Linked DNA regions of Cricetulus griseus. The protein of the gene in region 1 purifies or fractionates together with the protein of each later gene. This does not show direct contact. Links are inferred from orthologs where the notes say so. Each region holds a gene or a part of one and is shown in the gene's direction. Other genes may lie near its edges. The genes, in order: Sdc2, Pdpk1, Camkv and Ampd2.

Region 1 (7,426 bases):
CCAGTGGTTCTGATGCCCTCTTTTGGCCTCTGTGGGCACTGCAGGGACAAGCCACATATGCATGCATGCAAACAAAATACATATACATTAAATGAAAATATACAAATGAAAAATTACTTCAATTATCTCTAACTTTTTCACTTCTTCACCTAGTCTCTACATTTTGTTTGTGTTATATGCATTATAATTCTCAATTTTAAACACATCTATTTATAGTAGTTGACTCTCTCCTTACATCATGTAGGCTCCAGGGGTAGAACTCAGGTTGTCAGCCTTGACAGCAAGCAACTGCCCAAACTGCTGAACCATATCACTGGACCTCATTATATATTTTCTTCTGAGATGCACCACTAGTAAGGTACTTGGAAGACAGCAGTTAAGAAGATTTCCTTGCTATATCCCTCAACGTTCAGCCTGTAAGCTGGAGGTCCTCAGAACAGAGAATGATCCTTGGTCTAGCCACAGCTATCTTTCTTGCAACAGATATACCTCATAAAATTCAACTGAATTTTAGTCTCTATCAATTTTTATTAAAAATTCCCTTAGCAAGATGCAGTCATAATTTCTAGATTCAGAGACATGGCTGATGAGCACTAGTTGTTATTGGCTATACCCTTCCCCCATCCTTCTTCTGCATAGGTGACATGGCCAGCCACCCCAGGTGGAACCCGTTCTTACACTCCCACATTACCCCTCTCATCTTACTTGTGGATGCTTTTGAACACAAGGCGATGAATAATTATCTATTTTCGTGCACTTTATAGCGACTCTCAAAATGGTACCAATTCCTTCATGAGATAAAAGCTCAGGCTTGAGTTTTTTTTTTTTTTTCTTCAAAGTGTAAGTCATGGAGAGTCCAATAAATGCCAAGAGCTTTGGGGATTGTCTTCAGGGAAGCTGACAGATAGGTCCCTTCTGTAGACACATCTGCTTATTAATTTTTATCACTTCCTGTCCAAGCTGAATCAGAGCTTCTTGTTAGGTAGATACTTGACAAACAAAATGAGCACATAATCCAATTTTCCTCAAGATAGAAATTACTTTTATAGTTCTTTACTTCATGTTTCTCTATGTCTGCTATTATTCATGGTCTTTATCCAGTTCCTCATCAAATTGTAGCCTTGCCATAGCTTCCAAATGTTAATTGTTGGAGACAACAGAGGTGTGGATATGTGACCTAGCCTTAAGGGTGAAAAGTTGACTGGGTCCTTTGTGGGGACAGAGGTGATAATGTTTAACTTAAAACAGATTTATTTTATTTTTATGTGTCTGTGGGTTATGTGCATGGAAGTGCGGGTGACTGTGGTGACCAGAGATCCCTCTGGAGTTACAGGAAGTTCTGATTCACCAATTATGAGTGCTGGGAACCATACCTCTGCAAAGTGATAAGTGCTCCTAACTTCTGAGCTGTTCTGATGAATCTTTTCCTGGGGAGACACAGCACACAGATCTATGCACCCCAGATAGGGAACCCAAGAGAGACCAATGTACAAATACCACTAAAGTACAATTTGGTGAACCAGTGGTTTTTACTGGGGTTACCCACAGCAATATGATTGAGGGGTCACTTACAGGAACAGAAATGACTCAATGACAGCTGCATCTCCAAAAGCCACCTCTGCACGGATGACAGCTCACAAAGCTGGGAACCTGGCGCACACTGTACACCTGCAGGCAGCTCAAGGGGTTTGAGAGTGTCCTTTCCAGGTGCCTCAGTTTGTCTAAACCTCTTCCTGGCAACTGGTCTGGTCTCAATCTTCTTGAAGATTTTCTCCTCTAAGATTTTGTAGCATAGCTCTGTCTCTACTGCTTACTCAGGCAGGGAGGGACCTAGTGACAAGGTCATAACAGGACCCCCCACCCCCTCACCCCCCAAGCTATTTTGAGTTAGTTGTGTACCTTGCTTGAGGGGCTTCCTGCAGGATGGAATGTTTCAATCTCAGAGGAAGCTTTTACACACTATCTCTCTAGCCCCTTAACAGCTTTTTGAATGAAGTGTTAATTTTTATTGTGAAAACCTTCCACTTCTCATGGTGTTCTTCAACCACAAAGTATTCACCTTACACATAAGTGCATAGCTGATTCTTTCAAAAGCCAAGCTTCACTCTTCTATTTCACCATTTCTCCCTTTTGGCTGCTCAGGCAGGAAGTTGGTAGTTCCCTGAAATAGGGTCAATGTCTTAACGAAGGTTTATGATTCTCCTGTTAATTTTTCCTTTGAGATCCATAACAGTGACTTATCACTGAAACATCCTAACAGTCACTTTAGATGTGACCACAGTTTAGTCTGAGTTCTAAAATGTCCATGGCCTCATGGCTGTATCTATATGTATGAGTGTCTTAAAGGGGCACAATTTTTATATGATATGGCTCGAGCTTTGGATTTGTATTTACGTACAACATAGGTACTGTGTATTTTTAATGTATCCCAAATGATAATAAAGTAGTGACCAAGTCTGAAAAGTTCTGGCCTCTAGGAATGGGCACTGTAGAAGAAAATGAATCCATAATTCATTTAGTTCCCAAATCAAAGAGGAAAACAGCGGTAGAAATTGGGAGGGTCTGTGCCTGCCTGGTTCTGTAGCACAACACAGCACTGAGCTGCAAGGCAAAGCCTGATACTTCAGACCAGTCTCCTCCACTCAGGAAATGCATATTTATTATTTTCTTCAATCCAGAAACGACTTTACCCTTCTCTGACCTTTCCTTTCATCTGCTATTATCTAGAACTTCTATCTAATTTTTCATCCCCATTTGTTGCTTCCAAATGTAAACACCACTATGTGGAAACTGAGCTTAAATGATGCCTGAGGGATTGGGGGTGGGGTGGGTGGAGGGCGAAAATAAACTGTGAGCGGCAGAAATGGCTTTTAAACCTTTTACGAAGCTGCACTTTGGAGCTGTTGCGTTTTCGGATTCCCTTTCCTCTGCTTTTTTTGCGGGGGAGGGGTCGGGGGTCGAGGATAATCTAACACACACTTGTTATACTCGTTCTCATGTTTTCTGGATTGCAATTTTCATGATCTGGTGACCTGTGGACACTGTAATTTAATCTATAAACTTTCTCATTTTCCCGACTCTCATCGCTGTTTCTTCTAGTGACCTAACCCCCATAAGCCAGAACAGGATCAGGATCAGTGTGCGGATCGCCCTTCGTGGATTTTTTTTTTTTTTTTTTTTGCTTCAGAAAATTAAAACGAAGAAAAAGGAAAGGAGGGGCAAAAAAGAGGTGGCGGAGAGCGGAGAGGACGTTGAGAAGGGGAAAAGGGGGAGCAAGAAAATGAAAGAGCCCTGAGGTTTGCAGAGGCGCGTTCCTGGAGCAGCCACAGCACGGAGTCGAGGGCTCCCACTGGCTCTGGAAGCTGCCAATCGCGGTGTGATCCTGTAAGAATTTCTCCCGGGTTTATCCGGGAGTCGCTGCCGCCTGCTTTCCCCTAGTCGCCAGGAGGAACCGGGAGCTGCGGGCGAGGAAGAGAGGGAAGGTGGGGGCGGAGGCGGCGGAGGCGGAGCAGGGCCAGGGAGAGGACGTGGAGGGGTGGGTGGGGGGTGGGATCTAGGGGAGGACCCGGGAGGCGGCGGCGCGCAGGAGGAGGGGCGCAGCGGCCGAGCCTCTAGTCCGGCCCCCGGGCGCCCGCCGCGCTCCAGATACCCCCGGAGTTCAGGCCGCGCGGATCGCGCGTCCCCGCCGCTCTGCATCCCAAACTTCAGCCGCTGCTCCTTCACAAGCCTGTGGCTGCTTGCTTCACATCAGACACGCGAGTCTTCCGAGGGAAAGCACGCCGCCGCCGCGCAGGACCAGCCCAGCCAAGCAGCCTCCCGAAGCAGCGACTCCGGTTGGGAGCGCAGAAGCCAACAAGTGAGAAGGAGCCGCGTTCCCGGGGCGCAGCGCGAAAGCCGGAGCGAGCGCCCGAGGAGACAGCAGCTAGCGCCGGGAATCCGAGCCTGAGCCCGAGCCCGAGCCCTGCTCGCTGCGGCGGCTCAGCTCCGGTATCTCCAGGCCCGCCGTTCTGTGCTCTGGGCTTCGTTTCATCCGGGTTGCGAGCCACGTCCCCGGGGGAATATGCAGAACGCGTGGATCCTGCTCACCTTGGGCTTGATGGCCTGCGTGTCGGCGGAGACGGTGAGTGGGCCAGGCCGGGGGCGCGCGCTGTTTTGGGTGCCTGAGGCTACGAGAGGAGCCAGAGGGAAATTGGGGAGTCTGCCACCCGTAGACGTGGGGCTACTTAGAATGTGCTGGGGCAAATGAGCTTGCTTTTCCACAGCTCGTCCCCGGTCCCTTCCTTTCCCCTCTTGCAGAACTGAGCAGTTACAGGGAGCTATCCCATGTCTTCGGGGATGGGGCCACCAGAATGGCATCTCAGAGGCTCCTGCAGTCACTCCCAACTTTTCGCTCTCGGGGCATTTTGTGGTGTGGTCCAGGAAGGACAGAGGTCTTAGAGTGGCGGTCCAGGAGAGCACCGCTAAGGGCCAGGGATGAGTTGGAAACTTTGGTGAGTGTCTGTTCTTCGAGACAGTGGCCCCTCTACTCCAGGTTTTGTGCATGACTGAATGCAAGTTTAGGGAGACAGGGCCCATGTTAAAGAAACTCGAAAATAGGGGGAGAGGAAAGTTTGCAAAAGTTCATTGGTTTGATGCCCCCTGTTGCTGTGGCAAGGAAGCCACACTGCGTGGAGACGCAGTCGGTGGTCTAGTTGGAGGCCACGGCTGCTGGAGCTTTCGGGAAGAGGCCAGAGCTCCGTCCTCTGGCGTCTTCCACGAACCCTTCTCATGGAGAGAGGCCCGGGGCTTTAGGGGAGAGAGGAAAATTAATCAGATGGCACTGGACTGATGTAAAATGGAAAGGGGAGGGTGCTTGTGGCATTGCTATGGTCCGCAGAGCCTCTGGCTTCTGGGGAATGGAGACGTCTCTCCTGCTGCCCTCATGAGCCTGTGGGTTTCGTACTCCTGTGAGATTGTCTTCTTCCAGTGCCAGCATCATCCCCTCTCGGTGGCGGTGGGAACTTGATTTCTCCTCAGGATTGCGTTTCTGGGATTGGAGTTTGTTTCTCCGCATTGCCCAATGAACGCCCTCTAATGGTAACTGCCTCCCCGGCGGCTCGCGACTACTGCGGCTTCCCCTACCTAGGCCACTGCAGCTGTTTTGGCAGGTGGAAGCCCCGGCATGCAGTCCCAGGGCGGCCTTCTCAATCAGAGAGTGCTACTGTTTCCTTTCCTTTCCTCTGCTTGTCTACGCCACTACGTTGGCATCCAGTAACTTGTCCAATTCGAATTAATGGAAAGGTCCCTTCGAAAATACTGTATGTCTTTAGCTGGGCTTGGGAGTCTCTTCCATTTTGACCCTAGGCAATTAGGGATTGGGAAACCTTTTGGCATTCGGCATAAAATGGACATTTGTGATGGGTGGGGGTGGGAGTGGGGGTGGGGGGCAGTGATGCTCCGCTGTGTTGGTCAGAAGGTCGCTGTGCATTGTTTGAGGCTGGGGAACTTAGAATTGGATACTGGATATTTCAGCTATTGGGATGTAGAAGTACAACTCTGATATTTACAGGATTTCTCACTGGCAAATGATGTTTAATCCGTTGGAATTAATAATCTTTCCCAGCTAGTTCTGAACTTTGGCTTGTTGTAAACCAAAAGGGAGCTATTCTGTGTTTATTTAGGAAAAAAATTCATTGCTCATCTGTTGCAAAGCAGGGCAAAAGAACTAAATGATTTCCAGAGTGGATTCCTGCTAAACTGTGCAGAGTTGGAGGACCTTTTCTTGGCAGAACCCTATTGAGAGATTTGCTAGGAAATGTTCCCATTTGGGGATTCCAGGCAAGAAAAACCCTTTGGAGTTTCTGTGTGGGTTTGACAACTCCTTAAGGTATGGTGGGGTTTGTTGCTGTTTTTTTTTTTCCCCCTGAATCGTGCTTGTCTTCTCTCCCTGCGAGATTTCTCTTGTAGTCTTTTATCTTTGGGGGCTCTACCATTTTCTCAGTTCAAACCAGAATTGAATGTTTTCCAAGTGAACAGCTTTATTGGAAAGATTATGTTTTGAGCCCTTGAACTATCATTCGAAGGGTGATTAAATATTTTTAAAATGTCAACTGAGAATCCTACCTAGAGCCTTTGTTGGACAGTGAGTCAATCTTTCTCAGTAAAAGCTGTTTCAAAACCCAAACCGACTGACTGATAGCCCATTTACTCTGCCCCCCCCAATCCGGTCTCTAATTTACTTCACCTAGAACAGCATAAATATACCCAAGCTTGAAACACGAGACTTTTAAAAGTTCAGCTGTTACAAAACATTATTTCCAGAACTTTTTATTTTCATTTGGAAACTGCAGTGCTGCCCAGGATTTAAAAGTAGTGATTGTCTGAGCTTTAAGATTCCATCGGCAGCCAGCTAGTGAATTCTTTAGTTTAGACTTAGCTCCAAGGGGAGGGATGCGTCTCAGGCACTAGGGTTCAAAGCTGTTTGGGGAGAGGAACTTGGGGCCCCTTCCTGAGGATACAGAGAAAGCGAGGAAGCCTGCTTCTTATGTCTGCTCATGCTTTCCACTGGCAGCTGAGGATTTTCACTGCCGGGAGGATGGAGCAGAGTGAACATGCTGCTAGTTTTTCTGTCCATTTTCTTTACATGACTGTTTATCTTGAGAAATAATACAGCACAGACTTCTATAAACATATAATTTGAACTGGAAATATGTTTAAGGAAAGGAATCATCTTGAACTGGTGGAGTTTTATAAGCATGCTTAGATGTGTGTAAATGAAAGGAAACTGTCAAGTCATTTGGAGGCGTGCACTACCGCAAAAGGCATCATGAAAGCCAGGCTCTGGAAAGTTTGCACTAGAAAGGAAATTAAAGTTGAAATACTATAGTTCTTAGCAGTCTTTCTCTAAATGTATTTTGTCAGTTCTAATGGGGCAAATTACTTGTGCAGGAGAATCTGACAGAAACAAAGGCTCTTTATCTCTCTGCTCAATATTAGCAGTAGACTGTGTCATTTAAGAAGGAAAGCTCAGAGGATGGGTGTGCAAGAAGGAATTTGAGTATGTCTTACAACGATTGCTTATAGAAACTGGTATGCCTTTTTCTTTTCATTAAAAATGCTGATCAGTAGGTAGGCAGTACTGTTGCATACTTATCAGATACCCTATGATATTTTGATCCATGTATGCCTTATGTGATGTTCAAATCAAGGTCTTATATCTTGTTTTGGTGTTGTCTGCCATTCAAAGAGCAGTCTACCAGTGGGCTGGGTAACACGATCATTCAAATGGCACCTTGGATAATCATTAGTTGAGAAAGAATTTTAAAAGGCCAGCTAGTTTTTCCAAAAGCAAAACTTATTTTTCAAGCCTCCAGAAGCCCCCCCCAATACACACACACACACACACACACACACACACACACACACACCGGACTTGACTATAGGTAAC
Region 2 (6,935 bases), on another chromosome or scaffold:
CCCAGAGAGCATTTGAATTAGTTATAGCAGTATCACCCTACAGGGACAAAACTTTTCTCCAGCCCCACTCCCTAGAACTAGGAGATTCTCCCTCAGACCTCCTAAAGTTGTTAATACTGGTTAGCATTCTTCAACTCCCACCTTACCTGATATGCAGCATCCTGGTATAGCATGATGTTGGCAATGAACTATGTTCTCCTCAGAATGAGACAAGGACATGTAGAAGTTGTTAGCCCTCAATAGACATCTTCAGGGGAGCTGAACCACTTGGTAGTGTTCCTGCCTAGTATAGTACCATTTGACTCAGGTCACAGGGAGATGCTTAGAAAAGCAAATTCAAACTTCCCACATAACCTTGTCTTAAGCGATAGGAATACATTAGAGACTGAAGGTAGAGTGGTACAGACAAGAGACTGCAAAGTGAACCTTTTTTATCATTTAAATTATACCAATCCCATTTTTCTTTGTGTTTTCCCTCTCTTAAAGTTCAGACCTTTGGGCTCTTGGATGTATAATCTATCAGCTTGTGGCAGGACTCCCACCGTTCAGAGCCGGGTAAGAGGGATTCTGTACATCTTAGGCTTCTGAGCCTATCACCGCATACTCCATTGCCAACAGCTGCTGGGAGGTCTGGACAAAGGTTGTGCCCAGTGGGGAGGAACTTCCACCATAACTTAAGAATATGTGGTGCCTGGGGACTTTAGTAAGATCTGGCCTGGAAGGTGAGGGTGACATTGGGATGTTCTGTAAAAGTGTACCTAGTATTAGAGATTTGAAAAACCCTTGCCCAAATAACAGCAATTTTTTTAATTCACAGAAATGAATATCTTATATTTCAGAAGATCATTAAACTGGAATATGATTTCCCAGAGAAATTCTTTCCTAAGGCAAGAGATCTTGTGGAAAAACTCTTGGTAAGTATTTTAAATTTTCTGTGGTAAGGAATCATCATAGCTACCTTCTGACTTCTGTCACACTCATGGCCATCCTTTTGAAAAATGTGTTTAAGATAGACAGTAATTATAGATAAGTATTTTTATCTCAGTACCTATTTCTTGACTTTAATAAGAGAGGAAGTTACTTTATTATTTCGTGTGTGTTCATTAACATCATGTCACATTTTAAGTGATTGCCACTGAGTGACTGGGTTTATTCCAGTGGCAGATGGCTGTAAATCCTGCTTCAGTGACATCTGCCAATATCACCTTTAGAGTGTAAATTACATGAAGACTTTAAAGATCAACCTAAGTAACAAGGCAGAGAGAACCAGAGAAAGAGGTGCCATTTTATGTTCAAAAACTGGGGGTCTCAGCCCTTTTGCTTTGTAGCCTGATCTCCTTTCTTCCTATTTCTTTGGGAATCAGTGCCAGGTCCTATATTTATGGGTAGGCCCAGGTTTGGCTCTTCCCAGCTATTCTTCTGGTCTCTTTCCTTCATTTCCCTCATTACGGAGTGGGCTTAATTCAACTTTGCAGGCATAGGAGTGACTGTGCCACAGCCTTTAAGAGGTATGATATTATACTCAGTAAGAGCCTCATTGTTCATTTTCTTTGTTCTTAGAGGCAGTCAGTTCATTTTTTCCCCTTGTGTTAGAAGTTTTGCATTTATTTATTTCTGAGACAGAGTCTTGCTGTTTGGCCCAAGTTATCCTAAAATACTTGACAGCCCTCCTGCTCAACTTGAGTGCTAGGCTTATAGTTATACATCGCCATGCCATACTTGGCTTTTTTAGTTAGCATTTCTTTTCTTTCTTTTTTATTTTTATTTATTTATTTTTTTAGCATTTCTTATTTTTGTGTTCTCTCTCTCTTTTTTTTTTATGTTTTTGTTTGTCTTTTTTTTTTTTTTCCCCAGACAGGGTTTCTCTGTGCAAATAGCTTTGGCTGTCCTATAACTTGCTTTGTAGACCAGGTTGACCTTATCTCACAGAGATCCACCTGCCTCTGCCTCCCAAGTGCACCCACCTGGCAGCATTTTTGTTTTCAATAGTAAGCATTTCTTTCTTTCTCTCTCTTTTTTTAAACAATATTTTTACTCTTTGAAAATTTCAGAAATTGTGTTTTTGACATAAACACTCCCCAACATCTTCCATTATTATCTTCCCACCCCTTTCTAGCTTTGGAATTTCTTCAAGTCTAGTTTGTGCTGCCCAGATAGTCTTGGGAGTGAGGCCTGCCCTGGTGTGTGGTCAGCCTACCAGGGCTCATATCATTTTATAACACTTTTAGTTGCATGCTTTAAAAAGATGCTTGCTGCCACCCTCTGTCTTTTGAGGTTGAGATTTGTTTTACCTGTGGAAAGAAAAGGGCAGAGTCTTGGGTTGAGGGTAAGAGTCCTGGTCAATCTTGGCTTTTTCTACTACAGCATAGGCAGGCCGGGGTATGGACCACAGTGTCCCTACTCTTTCCAAAAGGTCTCAGGGCTTGACACTTGCACAAAATAAATAAACAAATACTTAACATTTTAACCCTGACAGTGACATGTCTTGGCTATCATTTAAGGTTTTAGATGCCACAAAGCGTTTAGGCTGTGAAGAGATGGAAGGGTACGAGCCTCTCAAAGCTCATCCATTCTTTGAATCCATCACATGGGAGAATCTGCACCAGCAGACACCTCCGAAGCTCACAGCTTACTTGCCAGCCATGTCAGAGGATGATGAAGACTGCTATGGCAACGTAAGCAGGCACTCATGGGGACTAGTTCAGGCAAAGAGAAATCTGCTTGCCATGCTGTATAAGTATGATTCCTTGGGACTCTAATTTATGTGATTACTGGTTAAAATGTATGAGTGAACATGGTGGACTTGGTGGTGGTTTAATACTTTGCTCTAAGTAAATGACCAACACACCTTGTGTAGGTGTTCTTATTTCTGGTTCCTGTTCTTATTCCCTCAGCTGATGAACTTTTACCTGTTTGGGGGATATGGATGGGAGGGAGGTCAGGATGTGGTCTGGACCTGTGCATGAGAGACCAGTGTCCTGCCCTAATCCCTCACCCCCTGACACTGGGGCCCAGGAAGCTCATCATTGGCAGCTTTTGGCTCAGAGCCTTTCTGATTTTTTTTTTTTTTTAATGTTCTGAAATGCTTATTTTTTTCAAGAGAACCCAGAATGCTACTGACTTGAATTTCCGGGGATGTGGTGTAGGAGGGTAGACTCCAGTCCCTGTAGCTTGATGCTCAGCAATAGGTGCATACTGTGTTTCAGGGGTGCTGCCCCTTGGGGTTTGTGTGCAATTGCTGTCACTGGCTTCAAAGCAGCTTGTCTCTGAAGAATTGACAATAGACATATATGAGACCTTGAATAAACTTTAGTTTTAAAACTTTCTACACTGAAAAATGGGAAACACCAGCAAAAGAGACAGAAATAAGAAGCAACAGTGTTCCTCCACAATTTCAGTCTTGTTTTTCTTAAATATTTATTTATTTATTTATTTATTTATTTATTTATTTATTTATTATGTGTACAGTGTTCGGTTTGCATGTATGCCTGCAGGCCAGAAGAGGGCACCAAATCTCATTACAGGTGATGGTGAGCCACCATGTGGTTGCTGGGAATTGAACTCAAGACTTCTGGAAGAGCAGCCAGTGCTCTTAACCTATGAGCCATCTCTCTAGCACCCATGATTTCAGTCTTACCCAGACTCTGCTCCCATTGTGATCTCCATATTTAATTTTTCTTTTAATAGTTCATTGATTCAACTCATTTTTTTCTCATTTGATTTCTGTTTTCTGGACTTATTCTAACCAGTTGCCATCCATGGAGTTCTGTTTAACTGACTGAGCAATTCTGACATTTACCTGAAAGCCTTCCAAAACAGCCAGGCTTTTTTTTTTTTTTTTGTGTGTGTGTGTGTGTGTGTGTGTGTGTGTGTGTGTGTTCGTTCTCAGCATTCAGTAAGCTGAGGCAAGAAGATTGAAAGTTGTGGCTGGAGAGATGACTCAGTGGTTAAGATGACTTTCTGTCCTTCCATAGGTTGTGAGTTCGATTCTCAGCACCCACATATTGGCTCACAACTGTCTGTAATTCCATGTCCAGGGAATCTGACGTCTTTTCTGGCCTCTGGGAACATTAAGTACACACATTGTGTGATCGTGCGTGTACACACACACACACACACACACACACACACACACAAGCAAAAGTTCCATATACATAAAATAATAAGTAGAAAGATTGAAAGGTCATGGTCAGTCTGGCTACAAATTAGGCACTGTCTCAGAACAAGATATACATACAAACAAAAAAACCCAAACAAAAGAGGATCTTCTAAATACTTCTAAAGAAGTATTGCTGTTTTTGCCTCTTAGAGATCAAGGAATTATCTGTGTTTTACTTGCTGTTTGGCAATCCCCATTTTCTCCTAAAATGTTCTTTGTGCCCAGACTTGTAGGGAATGAAACTCAAGTGCATCTATGTGGCCAGTGGCCAGTTTCTGCATGTGTTCACTGCAGAGAAAGGCCCTGAGCCAGGAGTTCCTGCCCCTGCCCCACTTGCCTACTAAATGCTCATGAGTGGTGTCCTTTTGGGTCATGTCAGAGGGTGCTGGTGGAAACCTTGGTGTCCTCTTTATTGGAACTCTCATTTCTGCAGGAGTTAACCAGGAATGGTAGGCAGTCCTTCACCTTATGGTTTCTGTCCCTTCCTTTCACTCCCAAAGGCAGCTGATCTTTGAAAGGGCTGAATCGACTCCATTATCGTCTATCTTAGCAGCCAGGAGCATTTCTTCATGTATACTTTACATGCATATTCACCTAAGCATCTTTGAGGGCCTGCTCTGCATTGTTGAGGACAGGGCTTTTTTATGGGGAGCTTTGACTTCTACCTGTATAATCTGGCTCTGAGTGGCAGCAACTTGGTTTTGTTGCGTGGCTGCTTAGCTCTTCTGGTATGTCTTAAGGGCTTTGTAAGCACCTAGACAGAGTTTCCTGTGTGGGAGTTCACCTTTAGACAGACTGGGCTTAGAGAACGCTGCGACAGAGGAAGTCTGCTCTGCAGGTATTCCTTTTTCATGGATGGAGAAGCTCAGTGATGTGGAGCAGCAGCTTTGTGCTGCTTTTAAATTCAGTGTTGGCCAGAGGAGTTTGACTCTGAGCTTCAGTTTCTGTGTTAGAAATTGAAGCCACTTTATTGGCTCTGAAAGATTTTGTAGGGACACCCCTCGTCCCAGTAGAAGCATGGCAGTAATTTTTGTAAATTGATGCAGGGACATGATTTCTCTTACTGGGGACCCTCCAGGAAGGAAGTGGGGACAGCGCTAGGGTATGAATGTGGAGTCAGCAAGATGGAGCTATTACTGCTGGAGGCTATGCAGGCATCAATTCTGCAAAGTGCCACTGGGCAACAGTGAGAAGGTGGGCATAGGACTATAGACTCTGCAGAGGGTAGGGACTGACCTCTGTGGAGTGTAGTAGACAGGACTCTCTTTCTGGAAATTCAGGATATGGAAGGCAGGACTCAGGGGTATGAGGCCTGCAGCCAACGTAACTGCCTCCCACCTATGCTCAAAGATCTTTGACCCTGTCATTGCCTGGGAGTGTGCTAGAATGTGAGCTGCCCATTCTGCTTGTGTTTTTTTTTTTTTTTCCCCTAGAATCATTGCTGAGATTAAAGAATATTTTAAAAAATAAAACAAATATAAGCTAAATCAGACTATGCAGTGGCTCTGAAACTTAAGATCCCAACTCTAAAAGAGAAGTTTGCCCAAGCGTTGAATTCCTTGTCAGAGGGTAGCTGCTCTAGAGGTTCCTGCCTTGGGGTGCTGTGCTGGGTAAGGGTCCCAGGTTCTTTCTCCCTGGAGATAAAGGATGTAGTGTAGCCCCTCTTTGACCTCTGTTTCTATCAGAAGAGGAACTTATAGCAGGAAGGTCTAGCCTTGCTTTGGTTTAGTGACCAAATGGTCATTGGAAGAAACTCTGTCTATCTATTTGAAGTGAGTATGTAAGCTTACCAGGTTGTGAGCGGCTGTGGGGGCCAGGCAATGTGGGAGGCAGTCTTTGACCTTACAGACAAATTAAGGTACGTCTCTCCTTTCCTTTTCCCTTGCAGTATGACAATCTCCTGAGTCAGTTTGGCTGCATGCAGGTGTCATCCTCCTCCTCTTCCCACTCGCTGTCTGCGGTGGATACCAGCCTGCCCCAGAGGTCGGGCAGCAACATAGAGCAGTACATCCATGATTTGGACACTAACTCATTTGAACTAGACTTACAGTTTTCAGAAGATGAGAAAAGATTGTTATTGGAAAAACAAGCCAGTGGAAACCCTTGGTAAGAACTGTAGGCATCGGCACCCCATCTAGAAATACAGGGTGCATGGGAGCAGATGTGGGCTGGTTGCTTGTCCTTGCCTCATCTCTACAGTGCTCTTCAGAGGAACAGGTTCCCAGAGGTTATTGGGGGACCTTGGCTGGGGCTTGAATTGCATTGTATTCTTGTGTTTTTACATCTTTATAAATTGATTTTAAGACTTGCATATATGAAAGCTATATTTTGCCAGCATTTTCTTCAACTTACCTGTCAGTCTATTGGAGGATATATTGTTATATAGTTGTAAATTTTTATAATGTCCATCTAACCTGTTCCTGTTCTAATCTTGTTTTCCATCCAAGTCTACTTGGCTACAGTATTTTTATCTGGCACCCCCACCTTCTTTTTTTGTTTGCTTGTTCTTTTTGAGACAAGGCCTTATCTTGGCCTAGAACTAGCCATGTAGACTACGCTGGCCTCAAAATGATATAGATAGATCTACTTGCCTCTGCCTCCCAAGTGTTAGGATTAAAGATGTGTGCCATGACTGATGCCTGATTACCTTTATTTTCTTCTAGTATTCTTAGGCTTTTACTTTAAAATTTTATTCTCTGACAACTTTATACATACATACATACATACATACATACATACACACACACACACACACTTATTTATTTGTTTGTTTATT
Region 3 (7,468 bases), on another chromosome or scaffold:
TCTGTACAGTGTTACTTCTGTATTTGAATCCCCAGCAGTATGGTGAGCTCTGCCTGTTTTGAGCTCTATCAATAGACTCACACTACATGCATTTTTTCCTGTTTCTATCAACACCGTTTTTGAAAGACACACTATTTGGCTGAGTAGACCCATAGCTCCTTCATTTCCTTCGCAGTATAACATTCTATTATATGACTGTACCACAATACAGCCTGCTGGTGCTGGGTATTTGGGCTCTTTCCAGCTTTTAGCAATTATGGATATAGCAATTATGAGCATTCTTACACAAGTGTCCTGAGGCATAAATGTGTGTCTGCCTCTCTCCCTTCCGCCCTCTCTTTGACAGGATCTCCCTATGTAGCCCAGGTTGGCCTGGAACTCCTGGGGCACAGTTGGCTCAAATGTATGCATTTCGGTGGAGCAAATATTTCAAGTACATAGAGTGAGCTTGAGAAATTGTGCAGTGGCTAAAAGCATGGGCTGCTCTTCCAGAGGGCCTGGGTTCAGTTCCCAGCACCCACACAACAGCTCATGACTGTAACTCCAGGGGATCCAACCCCCTCTCCTGGCCTCCATAGGCACTAGGTACGCATGTTGTACCTAGGCAGACATGAAGGCCAAACACCATACACATAAAAATGTATAATCATGGGGAGGGAGAAGGAGCTGGGATTGACATGTGAAGCAAGCTTGTTTCTAATTTAAATAAACACACCTACAAATATACATATGCACATACATATGTAATAAAAAATAAAAGAAGCACATAGAGTATATTTGACAAGACTGGCCTTGTCCTGTCCTGCTCTGTCCTTTACAACAAAGTCTCCTGTAGCCTATGCTGGCCTTGAACTCATCAAGTAGCTGAGGCTTCCTTGAACTCCTTGATCCTCCTGGCCCCACCTCCTAAGTGCCAGGATTTCAATTGTGTACCACATCTGGCTCCCAGCTTTTTCAAGGGGGAATTGCCCTCTTCCAGCGGTGTTCATTTTGTCCATAGCTTCGTCAAAATTTGTCATCTCTAGACCATCAGAGATAAATAACTAGTATGGAGGAAAGCTCGTGAGACCTCAGCCCTAGATAAAGAACTACAGGCAGCTAAGGATTGCTGTGGAAGAATAGTCTACGCCAGGGAAAAACACATCTGTTGATTATCCAACACCAAATTGTCAGCCCTGAAAAACATACATTCAAATAACACTATAAGATCCTAACAGGTTATATAACCAGGAACACATACACATAAACACACACACACACACACACGCACGCACGCACGCACGCACGCACGCACGCACGCACGCACGCACCAGGACAACTAAAGAAAAAGAGGTCATGAATTTGATTACAGAAAGGCAGAAGAGGGGGAAGGGGAAATGATAATTATAATCTCAAAAAAAAATTTCCAAAGGTGGTGGGTCATACCTTAAATCCCAGCTCTCAGAAGACAGAGGTAAGCCAAGGCCAGCCTCATCCATAGGGTGAGTTCCAGGACAACCAGGGCTGTTACTCAGAGAAACCCTGTCTCAAAAAACCCACAAAAATTATTGCTGGAATAAACTTAAATTTATGTTCATGGAATAGCTGAAATTTAAATATTTTTATATCTTTATTTATTGGTTGATTTTCAAGATAGTATTTCTCTGTGTAAAAGCTCTGGGTCTCCTAGAACTTGCTCTGTAGACCAGGCTAGCCTTGAACTCAAAGAGATTGCCTGCCTCTGCCTCCCTTGTGCTGGGATTAAAGGCATGCGCCACCACTGCCCGCTTTATTGATTTTTTGAAATAGGGTTTCTCACTATAGCCCAGGCTGGCCTCAGACTCATGCTAATCCTCTTATGTCAGTTTCTTGAGTGCTGAATGACAAATGTGAGTTATCATAACTGACTTTTAAAAAATTGTGGGGTTTGTTGTTTGTTTTGTTTTAAGATTACATTTATTTATTTGTGGGGGCAGTATAGTATGTGCATGGATGTCAGAGGGCAATTCGTGGAAGTTGGTTCTCTTTCCATCATTTGGGTCCCAGGGATCAAACTCAGATTTGGAGGGTAAATGCTCTTACCTGGTGAGCCATCTCTCTGACCCTAAAGAAACTGATGGTTTAGTCCCATCTTTATCTACATAATGAGTCTAGGGAAGCTAGAGCTATATAGTGAAACCCTGTGTCAAAAATCAAAACTAAATAAGTAAACAAATTGTTCTGTAAGTCTTTTCAAGTGTATATAATGAAAAACTATTTCCTAATATGTCAATTTAGTAAACTTTTGCTTAGTGGGAGCTGTTGTAGGTCAAGCAGCCAGACTGAGTGGCTGCAGTATGGCTTCAAAAAGCAAAGTAGGTCTGTGTTTGCCTTCTTTGCCTTTCACTTGACCTGAGTTGGGCTTGGGTTTTCCAAAAGCAGATTCAATGTTGTTGGAGGGTAGGGTGAGGGATAGAAAATGGTCCAGCTGAGCCAGACCCCATTCTGCTTGCATCTTAGAGCCTAGCAATGCCGTTTGGGTGTGTAACTCTGGGCGACAAGAAGAACTATAACCAGCCATCGGAGGTGACTGACAGATATGATTTGGGACAGGTCATCAAGACGTGAGTGTTGGGCATGTTGGGCAATGACGGGTGGATAGACCAGAGTTGGGGAAGCGGGAATGGGGTGCCCCTGTCCCAAGGCCTAGGCTGAGCGGAGTGCCTGCTGGCTTCAGTGAGGAGTTCTGTGAAATCTTCCGGGCCAAGGACAAGACGACAGGCAAGCTGCACACCTGCAAGAAGTTCCAGAAGCGTGATGGCCGCAAGGTGCGGAAGGCTGCCAAGAATGAGATTGGCATCCTCAAGATGTGAGTGTGAGGACTGAGGGGAGAGAGATGGCAGGGAAGGGCATAACGGGCAGGGGGCTCAGGAAGCACCACCACCTTAGGAACCAGAGCTTCTCTGGGGTTCACCCAGCCCTGACTACCGACTCCTCCCACTGCTACTAGGGTGAAGCACCCTAACATCCTGCAGCTGGTAGATGTGTTTGTGACCCGCAAGGAATACTTCATCTTCCTGGAGCTGTGAGTACAATTCTGGGGTTCCAGGATCCCCCAGTCCCTGGGGCATTTTCCTTCCCTTCCTTTTATAACGAAAGAAACCACTTTTGGAGCCCTCATGGTCCCAAGGCCCTGGGCCCTACCCAGCCAGGTGCCTGCTATAAGTCAGGCCTCCCAAATGTTCCTGTCCTACCCCCGATCCTGCCCACGCCGGGCTCAGGGGCTGGTGTCCCTCAGGGCCACGGGGAGGGAGGTGTTTGACTGGATCCTGGACCAGGGCTACTACTCGGAGCGAGACACGAGCAACGTGGTGCGGCAGGTCTTGGAGGCCGTGGCCTACTTGCACTCACTCAGGATTGTCCACAGGAACCTCAAGGTAAGGCCAGGGCCAGGGAGACTCGATCGTTTGACAGCTGGGCTGGGGCTGGAGTGAGTGCCACATGGGGCTCTTGGTCCAGCAGCTTCCGAGGCCCTCATGATAACGTCTGCCTGCCCTTCTACCCTTCTCTCCTGGACAGCTGGAAAACCTAGTGTACTACAACAGGCTGAAGAACTCAAAGATTGTCATCAGTGACTTCCACCTGGCTAAGCTAGAAAATGGCCTCATCAAGGAGCCCTGTGGGACCCCGGAGTATCTGGGTAAGGAGGGATGGGACGGGATGGTGGATGGACGGGCACCAGGGAGAGACTTTGGGGTAGGGACAAGTCTCTTTCCCAGAAGGTGGGTAATGGGTGGTATGATATCTGGCTAAACTTGATACTGACCTGCAGATGGACACTTTTTTCTTTAGCACCGGAAGTGGTAGGACGGCAACGGTATGGACGCCCCGTGGACTGCTGGGCCATCGGTGTCATCATGTACATCCTGTGAGTGAAACGGCACGTAATTGGGCTTGCAGCCAGGTGGGCTGCACAGCAGTGTCTGTGGCCATCCTAGGTGACCCTGTTCCATGCAGCCTTTCAGGCAACCCGCCCTTCTACGAGGAGGTAGAAGAAGATGACTATGAGAACCATGATAAGAATCTCTTCCGCAAGATCCTGGCTGGTGACTATGAGTTTGACTCTCCATACTGGGATGATATTTCTCAGGCAGGTGAGGAGACACCCAGCATGCGGGCAGAGTAGCGGGCGGTAGGGAGGGAGGCGCTGCTCTCAGCTTCTGCTGGGTTCTACTCCTGCTCCCCAGCCCATTCATCACATCTAGACAATGAGATGGGGCGCCCATGCCTAGCCCATCCCTGGCTTTGTCCCCAGCCAAAGACCTGGTCACAAGGCTGATGGAGGTGGAGCAAGACCAGCGGATCACTGCAGAAGAGGCCATCTCCCATGAATGGTGAGCAGGGCCCTGTGGAGGATGGAAGTTAAGGCCAAGTTTCTGTTGTTCTCTGAACTTTTTACACCACAAGTCCTTATCCTTGAGGTCTTGAGGGTGATGGGGGACTTTCTAGATCTCTGACCAAGCCAGAGGCTCTGCCTGGTGGTCCTAGATCACACAGGGAAGGGCTGTGGAGTCTCCGTGAAGGCACAGAGCATCCTATAAGAGGCACTTGCCTCCTTTCTAGGATTTCTGGTAATGCCGCATCTGATAAGAACATCAAGGATGGAGTCTGTGCCCAGATTGAAAAGAACTTCGCCAGAGCCAAGTGGAAGGTAGGGTTTGGCTCGCTTTTTCTTGGCCCAGCTCCAAGTGCTGCTTCTTGCACCCACAGTTTCCTGCCGCCACTGCACCTCTTCAGCTGAACACAAATTTTTCTCAGGCTATCATATGTGGCTGTAGCTCCTGCTATTATCTTAAGCTGAAGTACTGAGCATCTGGGTGGCCAGAGGTGTCTGGGGTACTCTGGAAGGGGTGGGTTAGCCATTTTGAAGGAGTGGATCCAGCAAGCCTCACCACGAGCCTTTCTTCACTGTCCTTCTTTCAGAAGGCTGTCCGAGTGACCACTCTAATGAAACGGCTCCGGGCACCAGAGCAGTCTGGCACAGCTGCAGCCCAGTCTGCTTCAGACACTGCCACTCCTGGGGCTGCTGGTGGGGCCATTGCTGCAGCTGCCAGTGGAGCTGCCCCGGCCTCTGGGGGCGGTGCTACTGCAGCCACAGAGCGTGAAGCTGGGTGTGCTGCCAAGAGTGATAATATAGCCTCTGCAGATCGTAGTGCTACCCCAGCCACAGATGGCAGTGCAACTCCAGCCACAGATGGCAGTGTCACCCCAGCCACTGATGGGAGCATCACTCCAGCCACTGATGGGAGTGTCACTCCAGCCACTGACAGGAGTGCTACACCAGCTACTGATGGCAGAGCTACACCAGCTACAGAAGAGAGCGCAGTGCCCACCACCCAAAGCAGTGCCATGCCAGCTGCAAAGGCAGCTGCCACCCCTGAGCCGGCTGTGGCCCAGCCGGACAGCACAGCCCTAGAGGGTGCCACAGGCCAGGCTCCTCCCTCTAGTAAAGGAGAAGAGGCTACTGGCTGTGCCCAGGAGTCTCAGGGGGAGAAGATGAGCTGAATGGGCAGCCCAGTGGGGGTTTTGAGGGATGGGAAGGAGGGTGGGAGTGTGGATGAGGGGCTTCTCATTGTATATAGAGTCACTGGCATGATGCCCTAGCTCCCCCCAAGCTCCCTCATCCCAGTGGGGCATGCCTGGGGGCCATGGGAGAGCAGTCTTGTCTCCTGTGTGGATGTGTGTGAGTGGTGGGTAGGCCAGAGGCAGGGCCAGCCCCAGCCCCTGCATGGATTCCTTGTGGCTTTTCTGTCTTTCGCTCGCTTCACCACTTTCTGTTCCTTGTGGGATACTGCTCTAGGGATACTCAGGGGGTCCTTGCTCTCCTTCTCCTTCCCTTCCTGCCTCATCATTTCCCCAGGCAGGCCCTGCAAGTCTCACACTTCCCCTGGCCCTAAATTGGGTGGCCTTGCCCTGAGAGCTGGTCCTCCAGCGAGGCCCTATCAGCAGTGTTAGGCTCCTGCACATGAAGGTGTGTACCTGTGGTGTGTGGGTTGCTCTAGGAGTAGATGCTGGCTGCTAGAGAGGATGCAGAATCTAGGGCAGTGTGCTTTAAGTCAAGTCTGGTCACATGATTGGGGGCACTGCACATTAGCTGTGGGGATCCTCAGAAGTGGGGGAGAGAATTGATAGAAGAGTAGAAGCTTCCGTCTTTTCCCATGGGTAGGCCTTCTGAAGATCCTTGTGTTGTTTCTTGCCCTCCCTAGTCCTGTAGTGGGTTACTCTGTATCCTGGTTCTTATGAAACTCTAAAGAAAAGGAGAAACAATTAGGATGTAGCAGTGGGACCTAGGAGAACAGAGTACAGGACCAGTACCAGGGCCCCAACCTGTCTGGGTCTTTATTCTGAGATAGATAGGGAGGGCTGGTGTTCCCATGGTCTTCCTAGATGCCACTACCACAGGAAGAGATCTTACCCATGGCCACCTCTTTCAGGCTCAGGCCATAAATCCTCTGGCCCTAAATACTCCTCCCAGGGAGGCATGGCAGTACCTCATAGGCTGCTTGAGAGTTTGCTTTTTTACAGTGGCAGATTTTCTGCTCTTCAGCAACATGGAGAGGATTTTCCTCTATTTCTGCTATCACAGGCTGAGGTATCGCTCAGCCATGTTAAGTTGCTCTTCTGGGATGAGGAAGTAGAATAAGATTCCCAGTCTCTGGAAGGATGCTCTTGGCAGGTGCCCTTGGTCCGACCCTGTCACAGCCTGAAAAGGCAGCCACACGCTGGTCCTTGCCCTAGCTCGGCACTCCATGGTGGTCCTGCCCTTCTCCCTGCATGCCTGTGGGTCTGCTCTGGTATGTGAAGGTTGGTGGGCTAACTGTGTGCCTGCTGAACCTGGCAAATAAACGTCACCCTGCAAAGCCTCTGGCCACCCTCTTGCCTTTGCTTCCTCTGTCCTATTGGGGAGGAACCCATGGAAGGCAGTGGGGGAGGAGAGGCTGATGCTCAGTGCATTGCTTAGGGTGAGAGTGAAGGTCACCTTCTCCAGTATGTACCTGGATGATGTTGATGGGGGACCCTCTGGACTCTAGGAAACCATGTGAGTGATGTGCTTCAGCCAAGAACTATCCCCTGAGCTGAGCACTTGAAGGACTGACGATTTTCCAGCTTTTGTTGACTTTGTCTTAACTTGGACATAGAGATGGAATTGACTCAGAGCCAACCACTACAGGGAGAGACCTCGCTCATGGCCACAGTGGGTCTCTTTGGGCTGGGGAGAGGCTAGGATTGCACAAAAGTTCTGTGCTGTATGTTGATGCCTGCTTCCTGTGAATACCTGTGCTTTCCACTTAGACCAAAAAGATTTCACTGTCTTCCCCAGCTGGAGCAGATCTGCTTTAAATATGGAGTCCTGTATGTTTCTTCTGGGGGAGTAATACTAACTATATCATAAAAATCCCTAAGGAGACTTGCTTCAGCTCAGATGGGCTTTGGTGAACTCACCTGGGTT
Region 4 (7,661 bases), on another chromosome or scaffold:
CTGGACATAGACCTCGAACAGTGTGAGACTGTGACCCTTACAATTATGTCAAAATCTGCATCTTACCAGAATATAAATGAGCATCTTTATGGTCACATGGTACCTGATTAATTTTGGGATTTATTTTGTTCACTATTGGAAGCTAACATTTTCACAATGTCTAAGGGCCGGCTTCAGAATAGCCCACTTTCTAAGTCTGGGAGCTATTACAGGTGATTCCGAGAGTTCTGCAGATTTTTGTTGGTTTCCATCCTCTTGATTATACTGTAACTTTCTGTGTGTTTCTTTTCTGTGTATATCACATCTATCACAATTAGGACCATTCTATTTGTGGAGTTTTTGCATACGTCCTTTCACCTAACTTTTTGTTGTAAACATTTTCACATGATTAAAAAAAAATCTCCAAGAATAGTATTAATGGTTGTATTTCATTGCATTCATTTAAACATTCCCATTTAACTGGGAGGTGGTGGGAAGGCAGAGGCAGGCAGATCTCTGAGCTTGCAGTCAGCTTGTACAGAGTTTCAAAACAGCCAGGGCTACACAGAGAAATCCTGTCTTGGAAAACCAAAAACTGACCAAACAAACAAAATCATTCCCCTGTTGTTGGGCCTTTATGTTTCCAAATTTTCTGTGGTAAATATTGCAATATTGAACAACTTTGTGGAATTTTTCAGACAACCCTTTATTTTTACTATTAGTATTGGTTTGTTTTTGGTCTTATTTTTGGTTTTGGTTTTGTTTTTGAGATAGGGTTTCTCTGTATATGCCTGGCTGTCCTGGAACTCACTCTGTAAACAAGGCTGGCCTCTGGCACCGAACTCAAATCCTGCTGGTTCTGCCTCCCGGGATCTGGGACTGCCCAGGCTCAGAGAACTCTTTTTTTTTTTTTTTTTTTAAAGAACAGTTTTGTGATTCCCACCCCCTGAAGAAATCCCTAGAAGCTGCCATGGGATTAGCTGGGTCTGCCCATCCTCCTGAATTCTGATTGAGAAAGGTATAACTTCTTTCTTTCTTTTATTTCTTTCTCTTTCTTTTAAACATGTCTTCCCTTCTCTTGCAGGCATCTGCTGAGAGTCACAAGTTGCATGCCCTGAGCTTTTCCTTTAAACACCAATAAAATTATTTTTTGATCTTCAAAAAAAAAAATAGACTTGTTAGGAGTCAAAAACAGTAAAACTTGAGACCCTTGATTATATTTTGCTAGATGGTTCTTAGATTATATTAGTGTTTATGGCCACATAACCTGTGTCTAGTTCAACACACCCTCATCTGTACTGAGAGCTTCTAATGGCCCTGTTTTGATATTTAAACATAACAAAGTAAGAACAAGGTATCTCTTGTTCTATTTTAGTCTTTGATGCTCTGTGAACTGGATTTCCCCCACTGCCTTCCCAAGTTTCTGGAGGCCACTGTAGGGGGTTTCTTGTTTGTGTTTTTGTCTTTTTGCCTGCCATGGTGGGCATTGCCTCTCACGTGTAAGACAGAGGGATGCTGCCACCCAGCCCTCACCCCATCCCAAGGCAATTATTTGCAAAGTTTAAGACAGGTGGACAGGAGACACCCTAGAGGCCGCCTCAGATATAGAGAGAATGGGGCTCAGGACCCAGAGTTCAGGGTGGGGACAGGAGGGAAGGGATGTAGTGTGGGGGAGGTAAGACCTTTAGAACAGCTGTGTGTGTGTGTGTGTGTGTGTGTAGGCAAAGGACTCCCTCAAGGGCAAGGGAACAATTGCTTCTCATAAAGGTAATTACTTTCATAAAGGTAAGGGGACTTCCCCTTACAGGTTTCCTTTAGGTAAGACTGGCCCTTGAATATGGGAATGCTGGTTTGGGAGGGCCGGCTGTGGCCCTGTGCAAACACTTAACCCACAAGGAGAGTCAATGAGTTGCATTAAGGATCCCAGACCAAAGCAATGTTACATGAACACTGATTGGGTAGTAACTTACAGGCCAGACACAGGTCTAAGCACTTATAATTAACTCACTTATCTTCACCAGTATCATATAGAGCAGATACTCATTTTACAGAAATAGCACCGAGAATTTCAGCGCCAGTCAGGAAGTAGGTGGCGATGCCTGAATTTGAACCTAGACATTCTGGCTCGTCTAACCTCAACATAGAAACTAACGTGGGATGAGGAAGCCAGCCTTCAGGGCCAATGGCTAATAGAAGGAAACAGACTCAGGTGGGAATGCGGGGAATGCAAGGGCAGGGCTTCTGCTTAAAATGGATTCTGGGACCCTAATAATAGCTTCCTGACTTGTGCCAGGCATTGTGCAAAGGGACTTTACATTCAATCTTCAGTAAGTCCTTTGAATGAGACACTATCATTACCTTATTTCATCTTACTGATGAGGAAACTGACCCACAGAAGCCGCCCAAGACGGAAGGGCCAAGCCAGGCCAACCCTGGCCGGGGTGGCGCCCACGTGGCGTTAAGGAAACAGGGAAAATGGTGGGGGTGTGGCCAGAGGGCCGGGGGCGTGGCCGAACGGGGCGTGACCGCAGACTTGGCGGGGCCTGGGGCAAGCGAGGTTGGCGCGCAGCCGGGAAGGTTTAGGCGGGGTCGCACCTGTTGCGCGACTGCCCCACGGCCCCGCCACGGGATTGGGATCTCTAATTGATTCCCAGAAACTAGTGAAAGAACCCTAGGCGAATTCCGGGTTCGGTTTTCTGTGGAGCACGTGGCCTGCTTCCTCTTGAGTGCGGGCTGGGGGTCGCGACACCGGGGTCTCCTGAGGTCAGTCTGGCAGCTGAAGCCCGTGGGAGTCCGCCTTCGTCCAGCTGGCCATTTTGAGAAGCAGCCTTCCTTCCCGCCTCAGTGCGGGTGCAGGGGCCAGGGGCGCGACTTCGCCCCTGTGGGGCCCTCTCCTCTCCTCAGCCGCGCTTCCCCGCGGTGTAGACTAGGCAGCCTCCCTGGTACCACTCGGGACTCGGGCAGTATGGCCTCAGGTAAGCGTGTGGCGCGTGTGTTGGCGTTAGAGGGATCCCGGGACAAAGGTGCCTTGTCCGGGTGACAAGAGGGTCAGGTCTTGCTAGGAGTGTGAGCAGACCCTGGAAAGGTCTAGGGAAGCAGACCTTGAGTGTGCGGGCAGAGAGACAAGCAGAGGAGCCTGGGGTCTTTCCCACAGACCTCAACAAGACCCTGCCTCCGGCTCTTCCTGTCTTCCTAGGAGGACTTCCAGCTTCTGCCGGTCAGTGGAATTTTCCCAAGACAGGTTCCTCCCTTCTGGGCTCGAATTCTCAGTTCAGCCTCCTTCTCCTGGGCTGTCCCTAGAGCTGGGGTCAGATGGAGAAGAAAAGAGTGGGTTCTGCCCCCGAGGCTCTGGGTTTTCTTGAGTACGCTTGCCCTCTCCCTGGAGGAAATGGGTTTTGAGGCTGGAGAAGCTCAGGCTGTATTCTTATTATTTTTCTCTCTGGCTGAGCCTAGCCTGGACTTTGGCTTCTTTGCCTTGAAGCTTTGGCAAGGGATGAGGGTTCCGGAGATGGGGTGAGGGTGGTGCAGAGCTGCGAGCTGGCGCTGCTCCATCTGTTTTCTTTGCGCCCCCACCCCCACCCCAGTCCCAGCCACCATCAGTCACGTCACTCTAGGGACTGGAGTGGGAAGGGAGGGATAAGGGGCAGGATGGAGGCCCCACTCCCCGAGGTTGCCTAGACAACATCAGAAATCGTGGCCAGGGCCTCTTCCGCCTGCGGGGCGCTGCTTCCTGCATCAGTCACTCCCGCTGGGGGCGGGGCGGAGGAAGGGGTTGGATGTGAGAGAGGTTGGCCCCAGCTGGTGAGGTTCCTCCGCTGTAGCCTTGGCCCCAGCCATGGCATCCTATTCTGGCCCAGGCAAGTCCAAGGCCAAATATCCCTTTAAGAAGCGGGCCAGCCTGCAAGCTTCCGCTGCTGCTCCAGGTAAGTGTTCTTGGCTTCAGGCATGGGGCTCCTCCATCTCCTCCTGTCCAGGCCACCTAGTGCCTCAGAGAGGGCCCCCTTCTGCAGCACCCTCTCTGCAGTGATGCCTCTCTGCTTCGGTTCTAGGGCTGACTGACTGGGTTGGGTGGCGCAGGGAGTGGGGGGGGGGTCTGAGGTTTCCATGTCAGGGATGCTGCCCTCCGTAACAAGGAGTGGGTGTGGATGTGTGTGCACAAGAGGCGTATATGCACACGTGTCTGCTTGTGCAGATGCTGAGACTGTGTGTGAAGTGTGTGAATGAAGTGGGGAGGGTGTGGGACTGATGACTGCTTTGCGGACTGGCTACCCTGTTTGGTGCCTGTGCCTACAGCAGGCAGGCTCAGGTTGTTACTCTTTCCAAGGCCCTAGATCTAGAACTCCCTCATCGGTGAGTGACATCTGGGGTCATGCATTGCTGGCACATACACCAGAGGTAGGGCTCCGTTGCTACTATCCTTGCTGTTTGCTTGTTCCTGGTCTGTGTTGTGAGCCTCTTCAGGAGAGCGGCAGCCCTTGAGATGTCTGGTGGGCTGTGTACCTTGCACCCTTGGGTTTGGCTCCTACTATGTGGGCATCTCCGCACCATTTGCAACTGGTTGTGTGGTGGCGAGTGTCCATCCTGGTGAGGACTTAGCTACTTGAGCTTGTGCTTCCAGGGGTGTGGGTGTCTGCAGCTCTCAAGTGTTCTGGCTAAAGAAAAACGCCTTGGTGACTGGATGTTGTTAACCCCTCATAGCTCTATTTACACCCTGACTACCCTCCTTTAGCTTGTTTTTATGCTGCCAAAAATGCTTGGCTAGGGCTTTGTGTTGTGCTGACCTGTGTGCTCAGATCTGTGTCTCAGACTGTGTGTTTGGATCTGAGTCTTCCGGGTGTATGCCCTGGAGCTAGTTCTGTGCTGGTTACTCTATTGCTGAGCTAGAGACCCTTAGATGGTTAGACCCTGAGAGCATCCTGTCCCTGGGGTTGAGGCCTAGTGAGGCAGTCTTGATAATGAGTGAGGGGCTAGTCAAGAGGAAGGACTAGGCACCAGAATCTTGGAGCTGATGGGGTGATCCCCCCTTGGCGTTGGGCTGTATGTATCATCATATGTATGTTGTGATGCCAACTTTTGGCACTGAACCAGGGAGACGGGATCTGGCATGAGGGAGTATGGAGGTTGTTGCTGGTGTGTCACCTCTGGTGAGTCTAGCAGTTGTTTGCTTTTGTGTGGCAGACTAGGAAGATGACTGTGGCTGCTGGAACCCTTCCTGCTCACCCAGCCCTGCTCTGTAGGCCCAGGGTTACCTGACAGGAAAGGGTTTAAAATGAGGGCTTTTAACTTCATTTCTGCAGCTCTGTGGTCTACCTTCAGGGACTTAGAAGTGGTTGGTGGCTGGGTGTAGTGATGCACACCTGTAATTAGCTAGTTGGGAAGCTGAGGCAGGAGGATCATGAGTTCCAGGTATGCTTGGACACTTAGTAAGAGCCTGCCTGAAAGTAAAACTAGAAAAGGGTGAGGATATAGCTCGGTAGTAGAGGACTTCCTTAGCACACACAAGGCCTCAGGTGGTCCCAGGAATGCAAAAGACAGAAAACAAAACCCCCAAATGGTCTGGAGCCGTCTTTAAGAGCATAGGTAGGATCAGGGTGGTTTGTTTTGTTTGTTTGTTTCTCTGTGTGGTGTCCTAGAACTTGCTCTGTAGACCAGATTGGCCTCGAGCGCAGAGATATGCCTACCATGTGCTGCAATTAAAGACATGCACCACCACTGCCTGGCCTATGATCTAGGTTCTTGATAATCAAAGACTTGAAACCCTAGGTTGGGTGGGTAGGTATTGATCTTTGCCTCTTCCTCCAGTTCTTTCTTGCAAGGGAGAGCCTCTCTACCCCTACAATATCCCTTTCTCTTCACTGCTTTCCCCTACTTAGCAGCCTTTACCCCTACACTGGATTCAGAAGGCCTCTCACCCTCCTCAATGAAGGGTCTCCATTTAAGTGTTTGGAGCGTCCTAGGAATTTCTGATTGTAGCCCCATGGGCTCAGAGTCCTAAGCTTTACAGAACTCTTGTAGATCATTCCCCTGTGAGTCCTGGGGCTGTGGCCAGATAGGACAAGGCCACTTCTCACCCATTTATAGCCTCTGTCCAGAGGTTAAGGCAAGCAAATAAACAAAAGTAGAGTCCTATGTGTTTTCCAAATGCTGCTCCCATGTTCCAAGTTACTCTTCCTGAGTAGTTTGCCCCTACCCTGATAATGGACTTGGGACTGGCTTGTATGCTAAGAAGCCTCTGTAACTAGCTCCTACCCAGATTAGGCCAGTGGTCCAACTACCAGCCAGCCTCTGCATGTAGCAAAGGCCTTATTTCTCCTCAAGAGTCCATAGTGTAGTCAGGGCCCAAAAGACCTGGGGTGGACAGATGAAGCTTTCCAGAGGTGTAGGGCTCAGGGGACCATGGCTGGTCTCCCTTGTCTCTCTTCCTACCCTTTGGCCAGCCAGGCTGTGTCCACTTTCTGTCCCCTAGGGCTGTGGTTTTAAGGAGACTTGGCCCCTCCCTTCCAGGCTGCCTTGGCCATCTCAGTCTGTCTTGTTTCTCCCTGTTGAGATCCCTGGATCTAGGTTGGCCTCACTGGCACTGAAGAGGTTAAGGTCCTGTTAGAATTAGAGTTCTTCCCATCTCCCAATTCCTGCACCTTCTCTGGGTTTCTAAACTCCCCTGAACTCTCCCAGCCCCCTACTTGGGGCCATCCCAGGGTCTCCCCTGCTTATAGCTGCACTTGGTACAGCCCATGCCAGCCCCTGAGCTGTCCTGGGGGACTGGCTGCAGCTTCACAAGGCAAACAGGCAGGCAAGGGGCACAGGGCTGCTGACCAGAGCACTCTTGAACTCTGCAGGTAGGGTTCCAATAGAGACCAAGGCAAGTCGGTAGCTGGGTCCTGATCTAGGTCAAGCTCCTTTTTCTTTGTCCAGCTTTGGGACTGTACCTGGAGCACTAGAAATGGGTACAGAGACCTTAAGGCAGAGCCCGAATCCTTTTCTATGACAGTGGAGATGGTCGAGGGTTCTGGGGGGATTGCATCTTCTACAGCTGGCTGGGAGGACCAAATGGTCTGTGGACAGCTTCCTGCAGGAGGAGGCTAAGACTGTTGAAGGACCCAAAAGGGTCCTTCCTGGTGGCCTGGGAGCTTAGGCAGTCTAGGAGACTAGCAGCTTCAGACCTACAGTATTAACCTCGTGGTGAGGCCCATGTAGAGTTGTTCTGCCCTTGTTGGAGTAGAAAGACCCCTGGCTTCTAATTCTCCCTTTCTCAGGGCCTTTCATGGAGCCTCCAGCCCAGATCCTAGGGCTTCCAAGAGGCATAGACTGGTAGCTCCTTTCAGAGGGGCAGCCAGCAGTGGGAGGGGTAGCCTAGGATCAGCCCTCATCCTGGCAGTTCTGGGGTCCTAGGGAGAGGACAGGCCTCCAGGGGGAGAGAGGGCTCCTTGCCAACCAGGTCCTCTTCCTTGATAGTTGCTTCTTGGGTCAGAGCTGAGTGGCTGCTGTACTTTGCTTCTGCCTTCATGTCTAGGAGAGTAGGTGGTTGTTCTGTTCTTCTCAGGGAAGGACCTGTTAGGTCAGGGGCAGATCTGACCCTGGATTAGTGCCCGAGAAGCTGATGGTCCTTAGTGTGGCCACTGATCCTAAATGAGTACTTGGTGTGTGTGTGTGTGTGTGTGTGTGTGTGTGTGTGTATGTGTGTG

Evidence for each region.
Region 2: the proteins of Sdc2 (region 1) and Pdpk1 purify together in Homo sapiens (affinity purification with mass spectrometry; 4 studies listed by BioGRID and IntAct, counting the BioPlex papers as one, with this or other methods). This does not show direct contact. The link is inferred for Cricetulus griseus from reciprocal best matches to the Homo sapiens genes SDC2 and PDPK1.
Region 3: the proteins of Sdc2 (region 1) and Camkv purify together in Homo sapiens (affinity purification with mass spectrometry; 3 studies listed by BioGRID and IntAct, counting the BioPlex papers as one, with this or other methods). This does not show direct contact. The link is inferred for Cricetulus griseus from reciprocal best matches to the Homo sapiens genes SDC2 and CAMKV.
Region 4: the proteins of Sdc2 (region 1) and Ampd2 purify together in Homo sapiens (co-immunoprecipitation; 3 studies listed by BioGRID and IntAct, counting the BioPlex papers as one, with this or other methods). This does not show direct contact. The link is inferred for Cricetulus griseus from reciprocal best matches to the Homo sapiens genes SDC2 and AMPD2.

Annotation. Positions count from the first base shown.
Region 1 is NC_048603.1:17,616,135-17,623,560, reverse strand, and holds the start of Sdc2 (syndecan-2), read left to right. Parts: upstream 1-3,570; 5' UTR 3,571-4,060; coding exon 4,061-4,120; intron 4,121-7,426. UniProt on the Homo sapiens protein: Cell surface proteoglycan which regulates dendritic arbor morphogenesis.
Region 2 is NC_048600.1:43,631,711-43,638,645, reverse strand, and holds part of Pdpk1 (3-phosphoinositide-dependent protein kinase 1), read left to right. Parts: intron 1-486; coding exon 487-555; intron 556-817; coding exon 818-914; intron 915-2,501; coding exon 2,502-2,675; intron 2,676-6,047; coding exon 6,048-6,265; intron 6,266-6,935. UniProt on the Homo sapiens protein: Serine/threonine kinase which acts as a master kinase, phosphorylating and activating a subgroup of the AGC family of protein kinases.
Region 3 is NC_048597.1:216,130,585-216,138,052, forward strand, and holds the start of Camkv (caM kinase-like vesicle-associated protein), read left to right. Parts: upstream 1-2,487; coding exon 2,488-2,582; intron 2,583-2,695; coding exon 2,696-2,827; intron 2,828-2,968; coding exon 2,969-3,043; intron 3,044-3,256; coding exon 3,257-3,395; intron 3,396-3,537; coding exon 3,538-3,658; intron 3,659-3,810; coding exon 3,811-3,886; intron 3,887-3,975; coding exon 3,976-4,112; intron 4,113-4,273; coding exon 4,274-4,352; intron 4,353-4,581; coding exon 4,582-4,669; intron 4,670-4,941; coding exon 4,942-5,523; 3' UTR 5,524-7,468. UniProt on the Homo sapiens protein: Does not appear to have detectable kinase activity.
Region 4 is NW_023276806.1:49,047,601-49,055,261, forward strand, and holds the start of Ampd2 (AMP deaminase 2), read left to right. Parts: upstream 1-3,217; 5' UTR 3,218-3,814; coding exon 3,815-3,902; intron 3,903-7,661. UniProt on the Homo sapiens protein: AMP deaminase plays a critical role in energy metabolism. Catalyzes the deamination of AMP to IMP and plays an important role in the purine nucleotide cycle.